5 linked regions of the Nothobranchius furzeri genome follow. Each later gene encodes a partner of the first gene's protein in a complex. Links are inferred from orthologs where the notes say so. Each region holds a gene or a part of one and is shown in the gene's direction. Other genes may lie near its edges. The genes, in order: dab2ipb, pak1, map3k5, arhgef6 and dcp1a.

The links.
Region 2: dab2ipb (region 1) and pak1 share a complex: the UniProt entries of both Homo sapiens proteins name them as parts of the cytoplasmic complex. The link is inferred for Nothobranchius furzeri from reciprocal best matches to the Homo sapiens genes DAB2IP and PAK1.
Region 3: dab2ipb (region 1) and map3k5 share a complex: the UniProt entries of both Homo sapiens proteins name them as parts of the cytoplasmic complex. The link is inferred for Nothobranchius furzeri from reciprocal best matches to the Homo sapiens genes DAB2IP and MAP3K5.
Region 4: dab2ipb (region 1) and arhgef6 share a complex: the UniProt entries of both Homo sapiens proteins name them as parts of the cytoplasmic complex. The link is inferred for Nothobranchius furzeri from reciprocal best matches to the Homo sapiens genes DAB2IP and ARHGEF6.
Region 5: dab2ipb (region 1) and dcp1a share a complex: the UniProt entries of both Homo sapiens proteins name them as parts of the cytoplasmic complex. The link is inferred for Nothobranchius furzeri from reciprocal best matches to the Homo sapiens genes DAB2IP and DCP1A.

The regions. Positions count from the first base shown.
Region 1 is NC_091746.1:68,262,779-68,266,296, forward strand, and holds part of dab2ipb (disabled homolog 2-interacting protein), read left to right. Parts: intron 1-525; coding exon 526-693; 3' UTR 694-3,518. UniProt on the Homo sapiens protein: Functions as a scaffold protein implicated in the regulation of a large spectrum of both general and specialized signaling pathways.
Region 2 is NC_091753.1:60,604,116-60,607,633, forward strand, and holds part of pak1 (serine/threonine-protein kinase PAK 1), read left to right. Parts: intron 1-2,189; coding exon 2,190-2,303; intron 2,304-3,518. UniProt on the Homo sapiens protein: Protein kinase involved in intracellular signaling pathways downstream of integrins and receptor-type kinases that plays an important role in cytoskeleton dynamics, in cell adhesion, migration, proliferation, apoptosis, mitosis, and in vesicle-mediated transport processes.
Region 3 is NC_091742.1:11,510,399-11,514,635, reverse strand, and holds the start of map3k5 (mitogen-activated protein kinase kinase kinase 5), read left to right. Parts: upstream 1-1,429; 5' UTR 1,430-1,641; coding exon 1,642-2,065; intron 2,066-4,237. UniProt on the Homo sapiens protein: Serine/threonine kinase which acts as an essential component of the MAP kinase signal transduction pathway. Plays an important role in the cascades of cellular responses evoked by changes in the environment.
Region 4 is NC_091741.1:83,114,464-83,117,341, reverse strand, and holds the end of arhgef6 (rho guanine nucleotide exchange factor 6), read left to right. Parts: intron 1-1,937; coding exon 1,938-2,060; 3' UTR 2,061-2,375; downstream 2,376-2,878. UniProt on the Homo sapiens protein: Acts as a RAC1 guanine nucleotide exchange factor (GEF).
Region 5 is NC_091755.1:32,995,941-33,000,200, reverse strand, and holds the start of dcp1a (mRNA-decapping enzyme 1A), read left to right. Parts: upstream 1-1,443; 5' UTR 1,444-1,482; coding exon 1,483-1,611; intron 1,612-1,985; coding exon 1,986-2,026; intron 2,027-2,796; coding exon 2,797-2,924; intron 2,925-4,260. UniProt on the Homo sapiens protein: Necessary for the degradation of mRNAs, both in normal mRNA turnover and in nonsense-mediated mRNA decay. Removes the 7-methyl guanine cap structure from mRNA molecules, yielding a 5'-phosphorylated mRNA fragment and 7m-GDP.

The DNA.
Region 1 (3,518 bases):
ACATTCATTAGCATTCATGGTTGCGTTTCTGTTAGCCTACCAGAGGTGAGATGTTTGCATATCTAGAACATTAACGATCAAGACACCAAATCCTGTCATTTTCTGCCCTCGCTCCAGCTAACTTCTACTTCCTGTTACAGGAGCACCGGAGCTTTTTTTCCACAGAGAACAAGTAACAAATGAAAATCAAAAAATTAGAATGTCAGCAAAAAGTTCATTTATTTCAGGAAAAGGGGCCCAAACCAAGCAAAATCCTTGTTTTATTGATTTTATGTACTATTCTAATTGAGATTTTGGATGTGGGGTTTTCATAAGCTGTAAACCATTATCATCCAGTTATAACAAGTAAAGGCTTGAAATAGCAGGCTCTTCATCTAATGAGAATGTCTCATATATTTGTTTCACTTTTAAGTTGAATTACTGACATGAATGAACTTTTGCATCATATTCTAATGTTTCACCTGGATAGTAGAGACCACGCCAAACCAACATCACCAGACGTTATCGTTTTGATTGTGTTTGCAGGAGAAGCGAATAGCATCTCTGGATGCGGCCAACGCTCGTCTGATGAGCGCCCTGACTCAGCTGAAGGAGCGCTACAGCATGCAGACCCGCAACGGCATCTCCCCCACCAACCCCACCAAGCTGCAGATCACGGAGAACGGAGAATTCAGAAACAGCAGCAACTGCTGAACAGAGCTGACCTCGAGTGTGTGCTGAGTGTGTACAGTTTATCTGGCGAGAGGACGCGTCTCCCCGCCTGCACGAGAGACTGAGACCGCGTGGGCGTGCGCTCACAGCAGACAGTACTTCCGGAAAGACTTTTTAAGAGATGGTGTAGGGGAGTAATGGGCATTTTTCCAGAGGAGGGTGACCTTCATCATGAGGGCAAGTGGAGGGGCGGAGCTTGTATATAAGAACTCACGGCTGTCCATCAGGCAGACTCCGACGATACGTGGTCACCGGGGCGAACCACTATTTAACCACACACACACACACACACACGCACAGCCAGGACCACCAAAAATGGTCGCCCTAGCAACCATCCTCTCCTCCTTTTTTATCCCTCTCCTTCTTGATAACAAAGTGGAGCCATTAACACCAACAAGATTGCAGATTTTCACTTTAGCCGTCTCGAGAGGTTCGCGTTTTAAAGCTTTACTTTGAAGTGTTTCAAAAGAACCAAATATGAGCTAAAAATAGATCATTTTAGTCCAAAACAATCTTCTTTGCTTCCCTTTGAACTTGTGGGTGTGTTCCTGAATGTCCCGCCGACCCCATGCAATGCACTTTGCAAGAAGCTATTGGTACGTAAAAGGCCTTAACTAAGGAACACACGTCCACCTCACCCCTCAGCTCACCTCGTTTCTGCAAAAAACCAACTAAAAGGCACAACTTATACTGTGGATTTGTAAAGAATACAAAACTAAACTGCAAACATTTAGATGTATAATAAAATCAGAAGTAAATGTAGTACTATATTAATGAAATTTAATATAGATGTATGCATTGTTTTCTTCTATAGAGTATACACACATATATTTGATAAACTGACAGATTAAAGAGCCCATTATTTACGAGTTTTCGTCTATGGCGAGATTGTGGCGTGCAGCTCACATCGGAGCGCTGGAGGTGGGGACGACACTGAGCAGTGATAGAAATATCCACGCCGCACCGTATCTGCAGGAGTTTCAAAAAATGATGCAAAGTTTGCAGTGAAACAGATCAAGAGTCACGGTTTCGTCTCTGTTTTTCTCTCTGCACTGGAGCTGTTGAAGGTGCATTGAGATGCGCTCACTCACGCTCTACTCTGGACCAGTGAGCCATCGCTATGGCCGCCATTAGTTCCATCCCCTCTCCCAACTGCTTTAATTGTCCGTGGTGATGAAGTAGGCAAACTGTGACGATCCTTGTAGCAACACCTAACTCATCCGGATTTCTTTCTCTCGCCTTGTTTCTATCTTTCTATCCTGCAATCTTACAGTTGGTCCTAAAGTCGTCACTCTTCCATCTCGCCATGTGTGATTTGTATGTTTGCTTCAGGGAAGAAATAAGAACACAGACTTTAAACATGAGGCAGGAGGCTCTGCATGCTTCATCTTTGCTTGACAGCCGAGCGTAGCGTCAGTACAGGTTGTTTTCCTGGGTCGCCAGTCAGACGGTGATGATGAATGCTTGCAAATGCAAAAAATTATATATATATATAATTATATATGTAATTATATGTATGTATATATATAATTTTATATTTATATATATACAATTTTATATATATATATATATGTATATATAAAATTTATATATATATATACATAAATTGTATATATATATAATTTTTTAAATATATATATATATATATATATATATATATATATATATATATATATATGGTTGAGTCCGTCTATAGACAGGGAAGCCCCGAAAAGTGTAAATAAAATGCTAGCACTATTTTTAGCAGATGTTAACAGCTTTTTGTAAATGCATCTTGTGCTGAGACTCTACTGTATCATTATCGATATTGTAAATATGAACTAGCCCTGTCAGTCATCGGTCCTCATTGGGTAGAACTACACAATTCAATTATCCTGTCAGTGTTTACTCTGTTAACGCTTTTGTGTTCCTATTTACGTTATATTATCACTAGCCAAAAAAAGAAGAACGAAAACAACAGAAAACAAAACTGATGACGTAGAAGTTCGACTCCAGAGATGTTTGCCTTGCTGGTTTCAGGCCAAGTCGAGTCCGATGAGAAACGCAAGCACAATCCTGTAATTCTCATCCGTCTAGCACTTTTACATTGACTCGTCGGGTTTTTATAACTTCTATTTAGTCGTATTATTTTTAATCATGAGCCTGTTTTATGTTTTTAAAATGTGCCAAGGTTCAACATTGACTGAATAAATGTAAAGGTTGTGCATTCGTTTTCACATCGGATGATGAATTTCTCTTTTTCAAACAGAACCAAAATGTTTCACAAGAAATCAGAACATTCCTAACCATGCCTCTGATCCAGTCTTATAGGTTACCTTCTCAGATGAAAGCCAGACGATGAGACGTGAAAAAAAACTAATTCGTTTACTTCTGTTGTTTTACCCGCATGTTTATGGACTACATTAAATATGGTTTACAAGTCCATAGTAATACAAAAATATAAATTGACAATAACCAGTGATGATTTGTTGACATTTTTATGCACACTGTAAATAAACTACAGGCCCTATACTGAAAGTCATTGTTTTAATATTGCTTCCATAGGAAATCTTCCCCCACCTCCCGCAAATTATAAATCAGCCCACATCCTTCAGATTTTCCTTTTCTTTTAGTAAACATAGAAATCCTCCTGCTAAGATACACAGAGCATGCTTTTTCTCAGTTTCCATCCTTTTTTTTATTTTTTATTAAAGTACCTTTACTTGGGCAATTCTGTTAGCATTTTAGCTCAAATAGTTTAATATTTTACTTAAAGGTACAATGAATAAGAATTCTACTGTGAAATAATGTCTAATGTCTCAATCACG
Region 2 (3,518 bases), on another chromosome or scaffold:
GATGTTAAAATACAAACAGTTGTATGTTATTTATCGTGATATTTATCAAATGTGGTTATAAATTGAAAAAAAAATATATTTAATTACAAAAGAGAATTAAAATAATAAACACTCAAAAGTATCGAAAATTGGTACCGTTAGGTACCGGTATCGATTCCTAGGTACCGGGAATTAGTACCGGATTGATTCAAATGTCAAAGGTACCCATCCCTAGCGGTGTTACAACCCCAACCAGGTCTAGGAAACCGTGGGAGGGTTAACACAAAAAGGTGGATCAAACAGACCAAGACCCAAACCAATCATCTTAAACGGTTTGTTAACAAAAGGCATCCCAACGGGAGACGAAACCAAAACAACCACCTGTAAGGAAATAAATCAAACTAATATGACTGTCAAGTGAGTTACTATTTAAAGTTACCTACTACCTCTGTCTCAAAACAAAACTTAAGCTTGCCTTGCCCAGGAGGAAGAAATCTCAGGATCTTACAATAAGAGCTGGACAGAGTAACAAAAGAAAGCGCCCCACCTGACTCCGCTTACTGAAGAGCACTTTACAAAACAGCTCTGTAAATAAATCCAGCCAACCCAAGTCGCCACTGGCGCCTAAATTAAGCCAAAAGTCCCTCTCTCTCTCAGCCTCCAGTCTGTCTCCCCTTTTTCTCCTCCTGAAGGGGTAGACTTCATGCTGCAGCTGGGTGATTGCAGATGACTTGCAGCTGAGCTCTGAGGGAAGAGAGCTAATCCTGATGGTGCTGGCTGGAGGGAAAACCCAGAGATCGTAACAGTCAGAAAAGGGTAGAATGCCTTCTCCGGGTCAGAGATGAGGTCCTGCCCCAAGTGGAGGAGTTCAAGTATCTCGGGGTCTTGTTCACCAGTGAGGGAAAGCTGGAGTGGAGATCGATAGGTGGATTGGTGCTGCATCTGCAGTGATGCAGATTCGGAGTAGACCCACTGCTCCTCCTCATAGAGATGAGCCAGTTGAGGTGGCTCAGGCATCTAGGTGGGATTCCTCCTTGGTGAGGTTTTCCGGGCAATTCCAACCAGGAGAAGACTAAAGGAAGACCCAGGACATGCTGGATTGACTGTCTCTCAGCTGGCCAGGGAACGCCTCAGGATTCTCCTGGAGGAACTAGCCCAAGTGGCTGGTGAGAGGAAAGTCTGGGCCTCTCTGGTTAGGCTGCTGCCTCCGCGACACACTGCTCTACCAACACAGTTTATAGTGGGGACCGTGTGCTGCTGACCTCGAATCAGATGTTGTGGATCGGTGGGCAGAATACTTAGAAGACTTACTCAATCCCACTGGCACGTCTTCCAGTGAGGAAGCAATGTTTGTGGACTTTGGGTTGGGCTCTCAAATCTCTGGTGCTGAGGTCAATGAGGTTGTCGAAAAGCTCCTCAGTGGCAAGGCTCCGGGGGTGAATGAGATCCACCCAGAGGTCCCTACAAGCTGGGGAGAAGGACGTCTGGGCCTCCCTGCATTGGCTTCCGGCCCCGTGACCAGACCCCGGATAAGCAGCCGAGGATGGATGGATGAGATGACGGGACTAAAATTTAAGTGCTGCGGCTCATTTATGGTTTCAGACCTCAAGTATTACAAGAATGCTTTACTGCTAATAATAATCATTTCATTTATTTTATTTTGTGACAAACATCCCCCATCTCAACAACAAATACCATAATAAACACTTTAATGTCCACAACTCGGATCCCTTACAGCAGATCCTATACCATTAGTGGAGATGAGGTGAAAATCTCCAAAAGGCAAAACAGATTTAATTCTGCTTTTGATTCATCTCAGGAGCTCAAATAACAGCTTTCTGTGCTGGAGAACTGATTTTTAAAATTAGCCAACCAGATGTCCTTAAACTTAACACCAAGGAGGCAGTTATGAGCTGCATTGTGAATCAGCATCTTGGTCTCCTTTGCCAACTCTGCAGCAGAAGAAAATCAAAGATGGAGGAATAGGTTGTGTGAGGAGTGGCATCAGGAGCTCAAGCTGACTAGAGTTCAGGCACTAGCAGGAGGAGAGGGAGGTGAAGCCCAGCAGCAAAAGATGAAGGAGAACGTCTGTGACGAGATTAGGAATCAGCAGTGACAACAAGAAGGAAGGATGGATCTGGTTTTAATGATTGCTCATGTAACCATAAAGTCACTGAGACTCCGCCTCCTCTCTATGTGACATCACGCAGAGCTCCAAAGCTGTGTCGGAGACACCTGCCATAGCAACAGTGTCCGAGGAAGAAGATGAAGACGAGGCGCAGCCTCCACCGGTGATTGCCCCCCGTCCTGAACACACCAAATCGGTAAGACTTACCCAGATGTTTGTCTCCCATAATATAAGATACACACACACACACACAGACACACACAGACACACACACACACACACACACACACACACACACACACACACACACACACACACACACACACACACACACACACACACACCTGTATCATTTAGTGAAGAACAAAAACTATATTTAAAGGTGTGGCGGAGGATATTTTTTTCCAGGTGGATCATCTGAACCATTGGTCCATTTAACTGTCAATCATTCTGGTGAACCATTCCCGCAAGGCCGTCGTTGTACGTGCTAGTTCCTGGGTGGTTATCACTTCCTTTGTATGCGCATTGCAGGGGTGTCGAACTCAAACTCACACTGGGCCGAAATGAAAAACTGGGACCAAGTCGCTATCTACAGACCTGTACGGGTGTGTCTACAGACCTGTACGGGTGTGTCTACAGACCTGTACGGGTGTATCTACAGACCTGTACGGTTGTATCTACAGACCTGTACGGGTGTGTCTACAGACCTGTACGGTTGTATCTACAGATCTGTTCGGTTGTATCTACAGACCTGTACGGGTGTGTCTACAGACCTGTACGGTTGTATCTACAGACCTGTACGGTTGTATCTACAGATCTGTTCGGTTGTATCTACAGACCTGTACGGTTGTATCTACAGATCTGTTCGGTTGTATCTACAGACCTGTACGGGTGTGTCTACAGACCTGTACGGGTGTATCTACAGACCTGTACGGGTGTATCTACAGACCTGTACGGGTGTATCTACAGACCTGTACGGGTATCTACAGACCTGTACGGTTGTATCTACAGATCTGTTTGGTTGTATCTACAGACCTGTACGGGTGTATCTACAGACCTGTACGGGTGTGTCTACAGACCTGTACGGTTGTATCTACAGATCTGTTCGGTTGTATCTACAGACCTGTACGGGTGTGTCTACAGACCTGTACGGGTGTATCTACAGACCTGTACGGGTGTATCTACAGACCTGTACGGGTGTATCTACAGACCTGTACGGGTGTATCTACAGACCTGTACGGGTGTGTCTACAGACCTGTACGGGTGTGTCTACAGACCTGTACGGGTGTGTCTACAGACCTGTACGGGTGTGTCTACAGACCTGTACGGGTGTGTCTACAGACCTGTACGGGTGTGTCTACAGACCTGTACGGGTGTGTCTACAGACCTGTACGGGTGTATCTACAGACCT
Region 3 (4,237 bases), on another chromosome or scaffold:
ATGGCTGCATTAGAATGGAGTTCCTGGCAAAGAGGGATTTAGTTATTAATTACGTTTCATCTCATCACTCCTAGATTCAGGACTTTGCGCAAACTGACCATCTTTCTGTGTAAAGTCAGATTGTGACCACAAGAGGGCGACCTTAGACAGGAAAAGGTTGAAGCACGACGCTTCTGTGCGGGGACCATGACGTCACTCCACAAAGGAAAATTCGGTGTTTGTTTCAACCAGTTGCTCTACAGGTTTTACACACGAGCCGGAACTGATAATGGGCTTCCTGCCTGGAATAGGGCCTGGGCGATGGCATTACGTTGCTGTGCAACAACAGAGAAAGTTTCAAACGGAGGGGGGGAAAACAGTAAGGGACTAGATTTATTTTCAGTTCAATTCAATTCAATTTTATTTATATAGCGCCAAATCACGACAAGAGTCGTCTCATGGCACTTCACATAATAAACATTCCAATTCAGGTCAGTTCATTAAGCCAATCAGAAATAATGTTTCCTATATAAGGAACCCAGAAAATTGCATCAAGTCACTGACTAGTGTCAGTGACTATACAGCAATCCTCTAAGCAAGCATGCAGCAACAGTGGAGAGGAAAACTCCCTTTTAACAGGAAGAAACCTTCAGAGAATCCTGGCTCAGTATAAGCAGCCATCCTCTATGACTCACTGGGGATCGAGAAGATAGAGCAGTCACACACACACACACACACACACACACACACACACACACACACACACACACACACACACACACGCACACACACACACACACACACACACACACACACACACACACACGCACGCACGCACACACACACACACACACACACACACAAAGTAATGTGTCTATAGTTATATTGTGATGTCTTAGTAAATATTCTATTTGGTGAGAGATAAACTTTATTGTATGTATCCTAGTGGATCTATAATTAAACGGATAAACTAGTAGTAGCACATCCAACGTCAAGGAAAGCAAAAAGTTATTATCAGGAGAGGGAGAATGTTAAATGACATTTTCATGAAGCTCTGGTGTGAAACTTGATGGGTTTTAGAAGGTGCGCTTGTTCTGGTGTCCTGAAGCAGCTTCGAGCCTCCACCCAGCTCCTACAGCTGTCTGCCCGCCCAGTGCGTGGGTCTGCTCGGAGAGATAACAGCAGAAACGGGCAGGGTGTGCCCGCAAATTCGAGGCGCCTGTCAGTGCATGCGCACGCTCTCTCTGTCTCTTATAAAAGATGACGTAGCGCAGCTCCAACTTCGACTCGCTGTGACGTTGGTGATTCCTGTGGGCGTTGCTGCTCCGCTGCCTAACTTTGAGAAGTGCTGTGGGAGAGAGGAGCGCAGGAATCTGTCGAGCTGAGGCGGAATGTGGCGCGGATTTCGCTGCGCTTTCCTCTCCTCCTTCGCTTTGTTGTTGTGACTGACTTCGGTTGATTTTCGGCGTCATCAAACAGAAACATGCAGCCTGACGCGGAGCTGCGCCCCTGCCGCCTCTAGCAGGCTGTTTACCCGCGTGGAAACGCTCAGTCGCATGTCGTGTTTGCGCAGAAGCTCCGTGCGTAACGCCGCCTCTCCATGGAGGACTGCTGGAGGAGCCGCTCACTGCGATCAACTCTTTAACTGACACTTGAAACGAGATGAATCTAGACCAGGACGGAATCTCATTCCCGGTTCCCAGCTTTTGTTCCGGCAGAGAGACCGTCAGCGGGGAACATCCCAGCAGCACCGGCGCTGGAGGAGGCGGCGGCGCTCCCGGGATCCCAGCAGCCGGGACTTTCTGGCAGGACCCGCTGCTCCCAGGCAGCAGGGTCAGTCCCACCTCCGGGGATGAGCTAATGGAGGGCGGGGGGTTGCTGTCCACCTGTAAGCCCGGTAAAAGCAGACCGGTGACGGTGGCTTACGTGGTGAACGGCGAGGCGAGCCCGCAGAACAACGCGGAGAGCATGGCCCTGCAGTGTCTGAAGGACGCGTGCGACCGGGTGGGCAGCAAACTGGACACTGTCAACTTTGGGAGGCTGGACTTTGGGGAGACCACAGTTTTAGACCGGTTCTACAACGCAGGTGAGTCAAAATTTGTGGGTCCCTAAAGGCCTCCAGTCACGCACGGGTCTGAGGTCACATCTCCTCTGTGCTCACCTCATCTCCAGTAAATCACGTTGCTCTGGGTTCGTCTCGCGCACGCACACCCAGATCGGCATGTCTGGACATGAAGCTTGCAAGTCGTCTAAGCTCAAACAGAAGACATGAACATTCAGGGCTGTTTTTTCCTGTTTCATTTACAAAAGTGGAGGTTTTATTTCTTCAGAGATCCACAGGGTCACTTTCAACTGAAGTCCAGAGATGATCTGATAAACATTTTATCAACTGCAATGCAATACATGCATTTAATTGTATTTTTGCTTATATATTTGTAGTTTGGGGCTCTGCAGCTGATGCATTATAAAATGCTAAAGCGTTGCAGACTCGGTTGTTCATCGTAAAATCAAGGGTCCTTCTGCAGACAGCCAGGATAAAACCAATGCTCCGACCCACACATCCTATTAAAGTAACACATTCAATATTCCAGAAAACAGAAGTTTTATCTAACCCAGCCTAAACACGCTTAACTCCTCTCCCTACAACAGAATTCCCCTTACAGGAGTTTTATCTGAAGGGCAAAAGGGGGAAAATCTGATATTTATTTTATTCTAAAAACAAAATATATGAATCCATTAAGTCTGTTAAGGATGGGAAATGCCACAACTGCTGCAACAGTTGACCAATATTGCAATCACCTACCTGGAACAATTACAACAAATCTGAGGATTCTTCTTTTGAAGAGGTAGAAAATAATCACTTGAGTCATTTATTTATTTCAGTTTGGCTAAATGTATCCAAGAATGATGCAAAAATGGAAGATTTGCTGTTAGAGACTCAGTAAAAAAATTTAATTGATTTCTCAAGATAAATTAACTAACTGGCTTCCAGTCAGCAGAAAATCCAAACGTCAATAATGACATAAGCCTGTAAGTGTGGAGAAATGATAAGTGGATAATTTATACTTTCAAAGTCATATAGGTCTTTATTGACTCATTCTTTCTTATAAATTCCACTATTCTTGTGGGATTTTTCCATATTTAAATGTGCACATTTTTTTTAATCAGCAAAAATAGAATAACAGCTGCTTATTGGAAACATGCATGTCTAGTTCTCTTATGTGTTTCTGCATTATTCACAGCAGAAGAAGAACAGGGCGGTATAATGTTGGGGTGTTGATTATGAAGCCACAATTAAAAACACTTTTTATTGCAGCGAGCTTGGCTAATAATTCTTTAGATAGTTTTAAAACAAACTATTGTTTTTGAGTCATAAAGTAGCGGCGGCGTTCCCCTCGGTGTAAATGACATTTTAAATGTCAAAACTGAGCAGATGCAAGAGATAAATTAAAGCTGGTGCCATTTAAAAAAAAACTGTGTTTAGAGAGGAAAAAGGTGTAAATATGAATGTTCCCTTTCATGTAAATTAAAGCTGTTTTTAGGTTCTAGGCTCGTTTCTGTATCCTGGTGAGATTCACGCAGGAATAGCAGGAAACGTAAAAATTTAGCTACTTTTTCGAGTTGACGGGCTTGTTGCTTCTTGCTGTTCCAGGTGCAATAAGTTCCCCGTGTTCTTTTGTCATCTTTCTCAGAACTACAGAACTCCCGGTGCACCGGGGAGGGCCGAGGCATTTTCCCGGAAAAGTTGCTTTTAGCTGTACTTCTTCATCCGTTTTCCTACGCAAATGTGCACGAGAGGGCACAGAACAATGAGCTCCGAGGACGAGCTGTGACTTCTGACACATTCTAATAGAGGGCGTTCCATGTTGTCCTCCAACAGCCTCCTCACATGATGCTGCGCACAAAAAAGGACAAGTCTTCAGGCTCGGATCCATAAAAAAAAACAAGATAAAGAAGCAAAAGTTTGACTCCATCGTCTTAGTCAGTTCATTCATGTTTCAGTTTTATGCACACGTTTCTTTGTTCTGTTCTCCAAAAGAAAAACAAAACATTTGACATATCTGAGGACTTTATTCTTATCTACATCTTTTACTTGTCGTCAACTCGCTGGCTTACTGCAGTGAGACAATTTTCTACTCAGATTTATATAATTAGAGATTTATGCAGCAATCCTTGGACATGCGGTTCTATTTATATGCGTGTCCCTGCTGCTAAACCCATATTCAGGGATTTTCTGAGTTTTTCTGCAGATTCTGAC
Region 4 (2,878 bases), on another chromosome or scaffold:
TAATATATATTTTTGCCACCAGAAGGCACAAGAATGCCACTGTCAAAACCACAGAAGAAGAGCTTGTCACATGATCAAATAAATTTACTCAAAAATTAAGCGTTTAGGAAAGTGCACAGCGTGGGAGCATTCTTTATGTGGTAGTTAACAAAATGAGGCCGACATCAAAGCGTTGAGCCTGGAAAAACATGGAAATAAAGCTGTGCAGCAAAATGAAACAAGGCTCCTGCGTTTGTGACAGCTTGGTGTCTGCCTCCTGTAGTTTGGAAACTTTGGTGTAATTAGTTCAATGTAAGGAAACTCAAGTGTTTTTTTAAATGTGTAGCCTCCACAATGCTCTATAAGCAGTGCTGTAATGCCGGACGGCCCATTACACAACATGTCCTGGTGGACATTTCAGCTCTCATCCCACTAACGTTGTTTTTAGTTTATGAATGTTTTAACAGGCGTGGGACTTTGGTTCTGTGTCTGAGTGATGTTAAAAGAGTAGGAGGAAAAGCGTTAGTTTTATTTATATTTTATATTTTTTTCTCTGTGTGCGTGCGCAGGAGGGGGGCTGGAGAGGGAGTTTACGGTTAACAAAGAATTAACCACTTAATGGCTTCAATAATCGGTTAAATACATTTTGGAAAATGTGCAGAGAGGCTTTGATATCTAGGGGGAGCTTGGAGGAGAACCGCTGCTCCTCCAGTAGCAGCTCTCTTTTGCATGTGAGAGGTGGTTTGTTTTTCCCCATTTGTGACATCACAAACTAGGACTTTTTCAAATGAGTCATTTCAGGCACATAATTTCCTAAATAAACACGGTCAAAAAAAGAGATATTTGTTCTTTGTTTCTGTCTGTTACTGCCCCTTAGCATCCAAGAGATATAAGGAGGAGAGCTTAGACGGGTGCGACTTTTTATTTGCGTCAGGCTGTAGATGCATACGTCTCATTCCCAGAATCGCACCGAGCACCTGATGCCAAACACTGTGCAAACACAGTGAAAACTGAAAATACATAATTTACAAATTAAAGACAGTTGCTGACAAACATCAGGAGCAACAAACAGAAACAAAGAACAAATACCTTGCTCCTCTTGCCATGGGGTGCAATCAAAGTAATGTCACGCAGAGGCTTGGCACGGCAAGACCATAGACTAAATGTACAAAGCATTTGGTAGGGCGACACGTTCTTATTTAATCAATTTTAATCAGAATGCCCTCACTAACGTGGAGGTTTGGTCTGCTGCAACACGTCAAGCCAGGTGGAATGCCAACGCCACGTCCACATCCGGGTTAACGCCCATTTATATACAATTGAGTGAGTGACGTTGACAATCCACCTACTTGCAGCCATTTACAAGATGGATGGGTTTTTATTACATTTAGAGTGTTTATAGAGGCAGCAGAGACCCACATGGCAGCCAAAGGCGAGTTTTGAATAATGTCCCTTGTAAACTGCGTCAGAACTTTCAACCGTGACATTAAAAATATAAGGTGGTCTGGCTGGTGTCTGTAACCCTAGAACGTGACCCGAGTAGTTTATTTTTTATTTTTTTTTTTAGCCTGGAAAGAGTATTTTCTTCTGTAGCACCAGGGTCTCTGGGCTTAAGAGGAATCTTACATCGTATTGACAGCCTGGACACCTTTAAAAAGCAGCTGTAGACCCTTTTATTTAGACCTGCTTTTACCTAAATCTACTGTGTTTTTGTTCTTTTTTTACTTGAATTAATAATCATCTTTCACTTGATTTATATTTACGATCATTTAGTAACGTCATGAATTTGTTTTCCTGATTTTAATTTATTTAAGATCATTATGATGTTATGACCTTGTGATTTTTTTAAATCTATGTGAATCACTTTGGGATTTTCTTTCAGTGATGAGTGCTATGTAAATAAAAATGTCTTACTTACATTATTCATTAAATACAGCTCTTTTTCATACACTCTGCAGGAGAACAAATGGATGAAGCAGTTCCTGGAGGAGGAGCAGAAGTCTCGCAAAGAGCTGGAGAGGCTAGTCCGAAAACTGTCCAAGCAGAAGAACGACAGCTCTTGGGAGGACAGCGGCCACTGAACGCGTCCTGGTTTCATGGTGCTACGTGTGGGCTGACCTGCACTGGGACAAGCGTTTGTGTGTTTATTTGTGCATCTTTGTCGTGTCTTCACATTTCAGTCTCACGCAGCAGAATCAGACTCTCAAACCTTGGAGTTTCTTTCTTCATTATGATGATGAGATCCGTCTTCCTGATCCAGCGTCACTAAATGAGACAAACAAAAACAAGCTTCCTTGTATGTAGCTGGGCTCCACCACCATGTTTCCAAATCTCCTGCCACATGGTGACTCGCTCCGTAAACTCCACCCAGCAAACGGGCCAGTGTTGGACAAGAAGAAACAAGACAACAACAAAAAAACACCCAGACTGCTTTATTTGTGTGTTCAGTTGGAAAAATGAAAGGAGTACAAAGCCATCAAGCCTTCTCTTGCATGCACTTCTTTCTAAAACAGAACTCATGACTTTGTCACTGTCAGTTTTTATTTATCCATAAAGGCCTGGGATCTTTTTTAAACCGTTTAGATGATTGTTGCCTTGTGTTCAAGACATTTTTGTAGGCATGTCAAACAAGTGAGCTCACCACGGTGAACAGTCTCAAATGTCTCCGCTGACTGTTTATTTTAAAAAAACTGCATCAATCTACAGTGTTACTATGAATTTTGCGTCAGAAATGTGATCCTTTTATTCAGATATGGACTTCAAAGCTTCCAGGGCATCAACACATAGGAAAAACTTAACTGTGCACTATTTATTAGTACAAAAGGTAATTTACTCTTATATATATATATACAAGAATAATTGTAACCCAAAATATTCAGCTTTTCTTTATTTTGGATTT
Region 5 (4,260 bases), on another chromosome or scaffold:
TCTGGACTTACCCCTCAGGTGTCTGCCCCTGATAATAAACCGCATTCTGTCACCTGTTCCTTCTTCGAGGCCTCATAGCGCCGATCTGTGTGTTCATTCTACGGCGATTCGTGAGGGAATGGGTGGTTTGGAGCTCTGATGGAATGATAGTGATTGGATTACCTGCATTCAGGGTAAAACAGATTCACGGTAGTGCGTAATCCTTAGATTATAATCCCCGTTCCCTAAGCATGAGAGATAGCTGCATGCACCAAAGCTAGGGTCAAATAATAAACATGATTTTTTAAATAGAATTTTCAGACACTTTCATTCACTTATTAGCAGTTTAGGATTTGAATAAAAGGAAAATCTAACTTTGACTTCATAACAAGGAAAATAATGCAAGTTCTTCTCAAATAGGTCTGAGTAATAAATCTGAAATTATAAACTGCATTCATAAAACCATGTCAGGCGTTGTGAAATATTGTTCTGTTTTTGCTTTCATTTTCTTTCAAGATTAACAAAATATATACCAAACAACTTGGGTAAATAAAATGATCAACAATAGAAATTTTAGGCGTAAAAACACAAGTTAAAATGAAAAAAACCATTGTGATGTGTACATATTTCCATGAAACTTGAGGTAGGAAACATATTAGGCTACATGAAATTAACATTATAATTGCAGGCTTTTGCATTGCAAATAGCTACTGAACTCAATTTTAATAATAAATAACTCCAAATTTTGATCATCCAATGAATGAGGTGTGAACAAGTTGTTAAAATAGGTATCTATTTCCGTGTTTTTCTGCTTCACAGTTTGTTGCACATTGCTAAATATTATTTTGGTGGAAATTAAATATGTGGGTTAAAAGTTTATTATCATTTTTATATTTTAAGAAACCTGCAATCACATGAAACTTTCTTAACCCTCTGGAGGCAGGCGCTGCAGATTTGCAACAGTTAAAACCTACCTAACTGGTTACTCCACATACGTATTTCATGAGCATTTTTTTAACTCAGATGTATCCCTGAAAGACTTAGTTGTTTGTTCCTTTATCAAAACTTATTTTGAGCCTGAGAGGGTTAAATGCCTAGAGTATACACATTACATGTATTCCCTTAATTTGAACTGGCTTGCATAAAAGTCCAAAAAAGTTTGAAACTTGTTTTTCTAATATCTCAAAGGATGACATTATGTGTAGGAAATAAGCTTCAACTTCAGTTGGCAAACTACCTTTTCAAACTATGTTCACATTGTTGTGGGTTTGGTTTCAGACATATTTTTTCTGCATTTTCTCTCAGAATTTGCAATTACATTGTTTTTATTATTATTATTATTATTATTATTATTATTATTATTATTATTATTATTATTATTATTCCCCGCGGAATTAAAAAAACTCCTCTGGGGAACCTTTTCAGTGGTGGGATTTCCGTAAATACCGGAAGTTATAGGTGTTTGCAAAAATTCGTCCGTGCGGCAGAAAATCATAAGCAAAGATGGCGATTAATGCTGGACATCTGATGAGTTTAGCTGCTTTGCAGAGACACGATCCATACATTAACAAACTGCTCGATGTTACCGGTCAGGTTGCTCTTTACAACTTCAATTCAAAAGCAAACGAATGGGTAAGTAAGAGAATTTACCCTGGAAAAGTTTCGGGAAATATTTGGTGGAGAGCCAACAAAGCTAGCTTCACACTTAGCTTCTGAGCTTTGATTCAAAACAGAAAATATTGTTGTTGTTTTTTTTTTGGGGGGGGGGGTTGTTTGTTTGTTTGTTTTGTTTTTTAAGTAAATGTCTTTATTTGTTTAGTTAATTAAGATAGCGTTGTCTAGTATGTTGTTTTAACGCGAACACAATTAATGCATCTTAGGTACTTTCTAATTGTAAAATTTAACGCCTTATTAGCTTTCAGTTAGCTTATCACCCTCGCTAAATTTATTTAGCTAGTTTGGATTTGCGGTTTCTAGGTTTGAGTCGTTATCTCTATTTGTTCCAGGAGAAAACCGAAGTTGAGGGAACCCTGTTTGTTTATGCAAGGTAAGAATACCTGAGAGCCACGATGGTTGTTCCGCCGTCTGCGCACGTGAGGCCTTGAAATTTGTAAACAAAGATAAAGTGGACTCTGTGATTCAGTAAATCGAACGTAAATTACAGTGTTTAGAGATTGAAACTGAAATATTATGTTATAACGTTGTAATAAACTTTATTTTTAATCAGTTAAAGCATGAAGAACTAAAACGACCACCTACAAACTTTAGTTATAAGGAAATATAATAGACTTTATTAATTTTGTGGGTAAATTCACTCGTTACAGAAGCACATACACTTAGAGAATAGAAGAAGAAAAATAACAAAAGTACCAGTAAATACACAAAGGCAAATCTTTCTGTTAAAAAAATAAACAGGACACGAATTTGTTGTAGGTTACTTTGAATTGGACTGGGAGCTACTTAAATCAATAGTAAAGTTAACTGCTATCCTTTATATTAATTACTAGCACAGTAAACAGCTCCTGCTTTTTAGCAGGTAGAGACCTCCCACACTTGTGCCGACCCAAACCATAAAACTGTTAAATGTAGTTTCTGGTCAGCAGAGGGCTACTGAGTGCTGTCCCATGTGAAGATGTTCAACTTTATGGCTGAAGAACCACTGAAACCAGTTTGAAGGCAATAGCTTAAAGTGTCGAAAACTCTTTAGTATTGCTTTAAATGGTCAATTAAAAACAATCAAATGTGGAGTAAATATTGTACCCAAAGCAATGTGAAGTGCAATTAAGGAGGTAATGTTTTTCCTGGGTCCTTATGAAGGTCTGCCTCCCCTCACCATGGCTTCACCATTATGAATCGACTGAGTGCACAGAACCTTGTTGAGCCCATAAATAAAGACCTGGAGTTCCAGCTGCAGGATCCTTTCTTGCTCTACAGAAATGGAAACTGTGAGTGTTTTGAAGGAAATGAAACACTAAAGAAGTATTTTTGAAATATGTTATTTTTTCTGTTGTATTTTGGTGTGTTTGTGGTTTTGTTTCAAGGTGACTTAACATTAAGGACTTGTTTCCAGCACAGAAAAAGTGTTTAATAAATCTGTAAACATGTTTAATGACTTCTGAACCAAAATGAAAATACATTTCCTCCTAGTATAATAGCTTATTATTATTGTTGCTTTGTTAAATTCTGTTAGTCACAAAATGCTCATTATTTAATAGAAATTTCTGCAATTTTGGCATTTTCATAATTTTCCTATTTGAAGCATTAGTGATATCTTCACTTTTACATACAAATGTGTGTATTAATTATATTAACTAGCACAAACACTATTATGATCCTTAATTATATTAACTAGCATAAACACTATTATGATCCTTAATTATATTAACTAGCATAAACACTATTATGATCCTTAATTATATTAACTAGCATAAACACTATTATGATCCTACCTGTGAAAACAATAGACAGATATCTCCCCAGCGTTCGATGGAACACCTCTCTTCCATATTGCTTGAAGTCATTGTGACGTCTTGCAGCATCAAGCAGGAACACTTTAGCACTCATGGCCCAAAATGGCCAAACAGCAACTTCAGCTTTGCTAGTGAACAGTTATCTTTCTGCATTTGGGCAACCGTCTCAGAGTTAAGTCTCTGATTGGTGAATCCGACCACTAAGTTAATCCAGCGATGTCCTCCAGCCTTGTGACAGAGCAGTGTAACAAAAAGGCCGCAAAGTTTCTCAAATCTTCAAAAAGTAGCTGACTGCGCTGCCTCCAAGGTAATCTATTAGAAGTCTGAAGAGAAGCTTCATCAGGGCAACGAACAAGGAGTTAGAATGCTTTCCCATTTGTTTGCTTATAAGGAAAAACAGCATAGCCAGGGTCAAAGTTAGAGTCGACGGCTCCCCTTTTGGAGTTGGTTTGCACATCAGCCTGGCTGGGATCGAGGACATGATGAGGTTGGTATCCCAGTAAAACCAGCTTCTCGGATAACTTTACTTTAGCATGTGTGCTAATATTGTTGTTTGGTGGAGTTGCAGGAAGATAATCTTCAGGTTTCTCCCTGGCAGCAGACAGTCCCTCGCACACACACAGTCCACTAGATCTCAGTGTGCTGACTCGTTCTGTAGCCTGTTGCTGTAAAGGTGTGGCTGTATGAGTTTAGATTTCCCAGCTGTGATCCTGAAAGCGAGAGTAGTAGAAGAAACGATGAAGACTGAGCTGGCATAAAAGCAGGATCAAATAAAGAGCACAGGTTAGACACAAGTACGGTTAAATCTTCA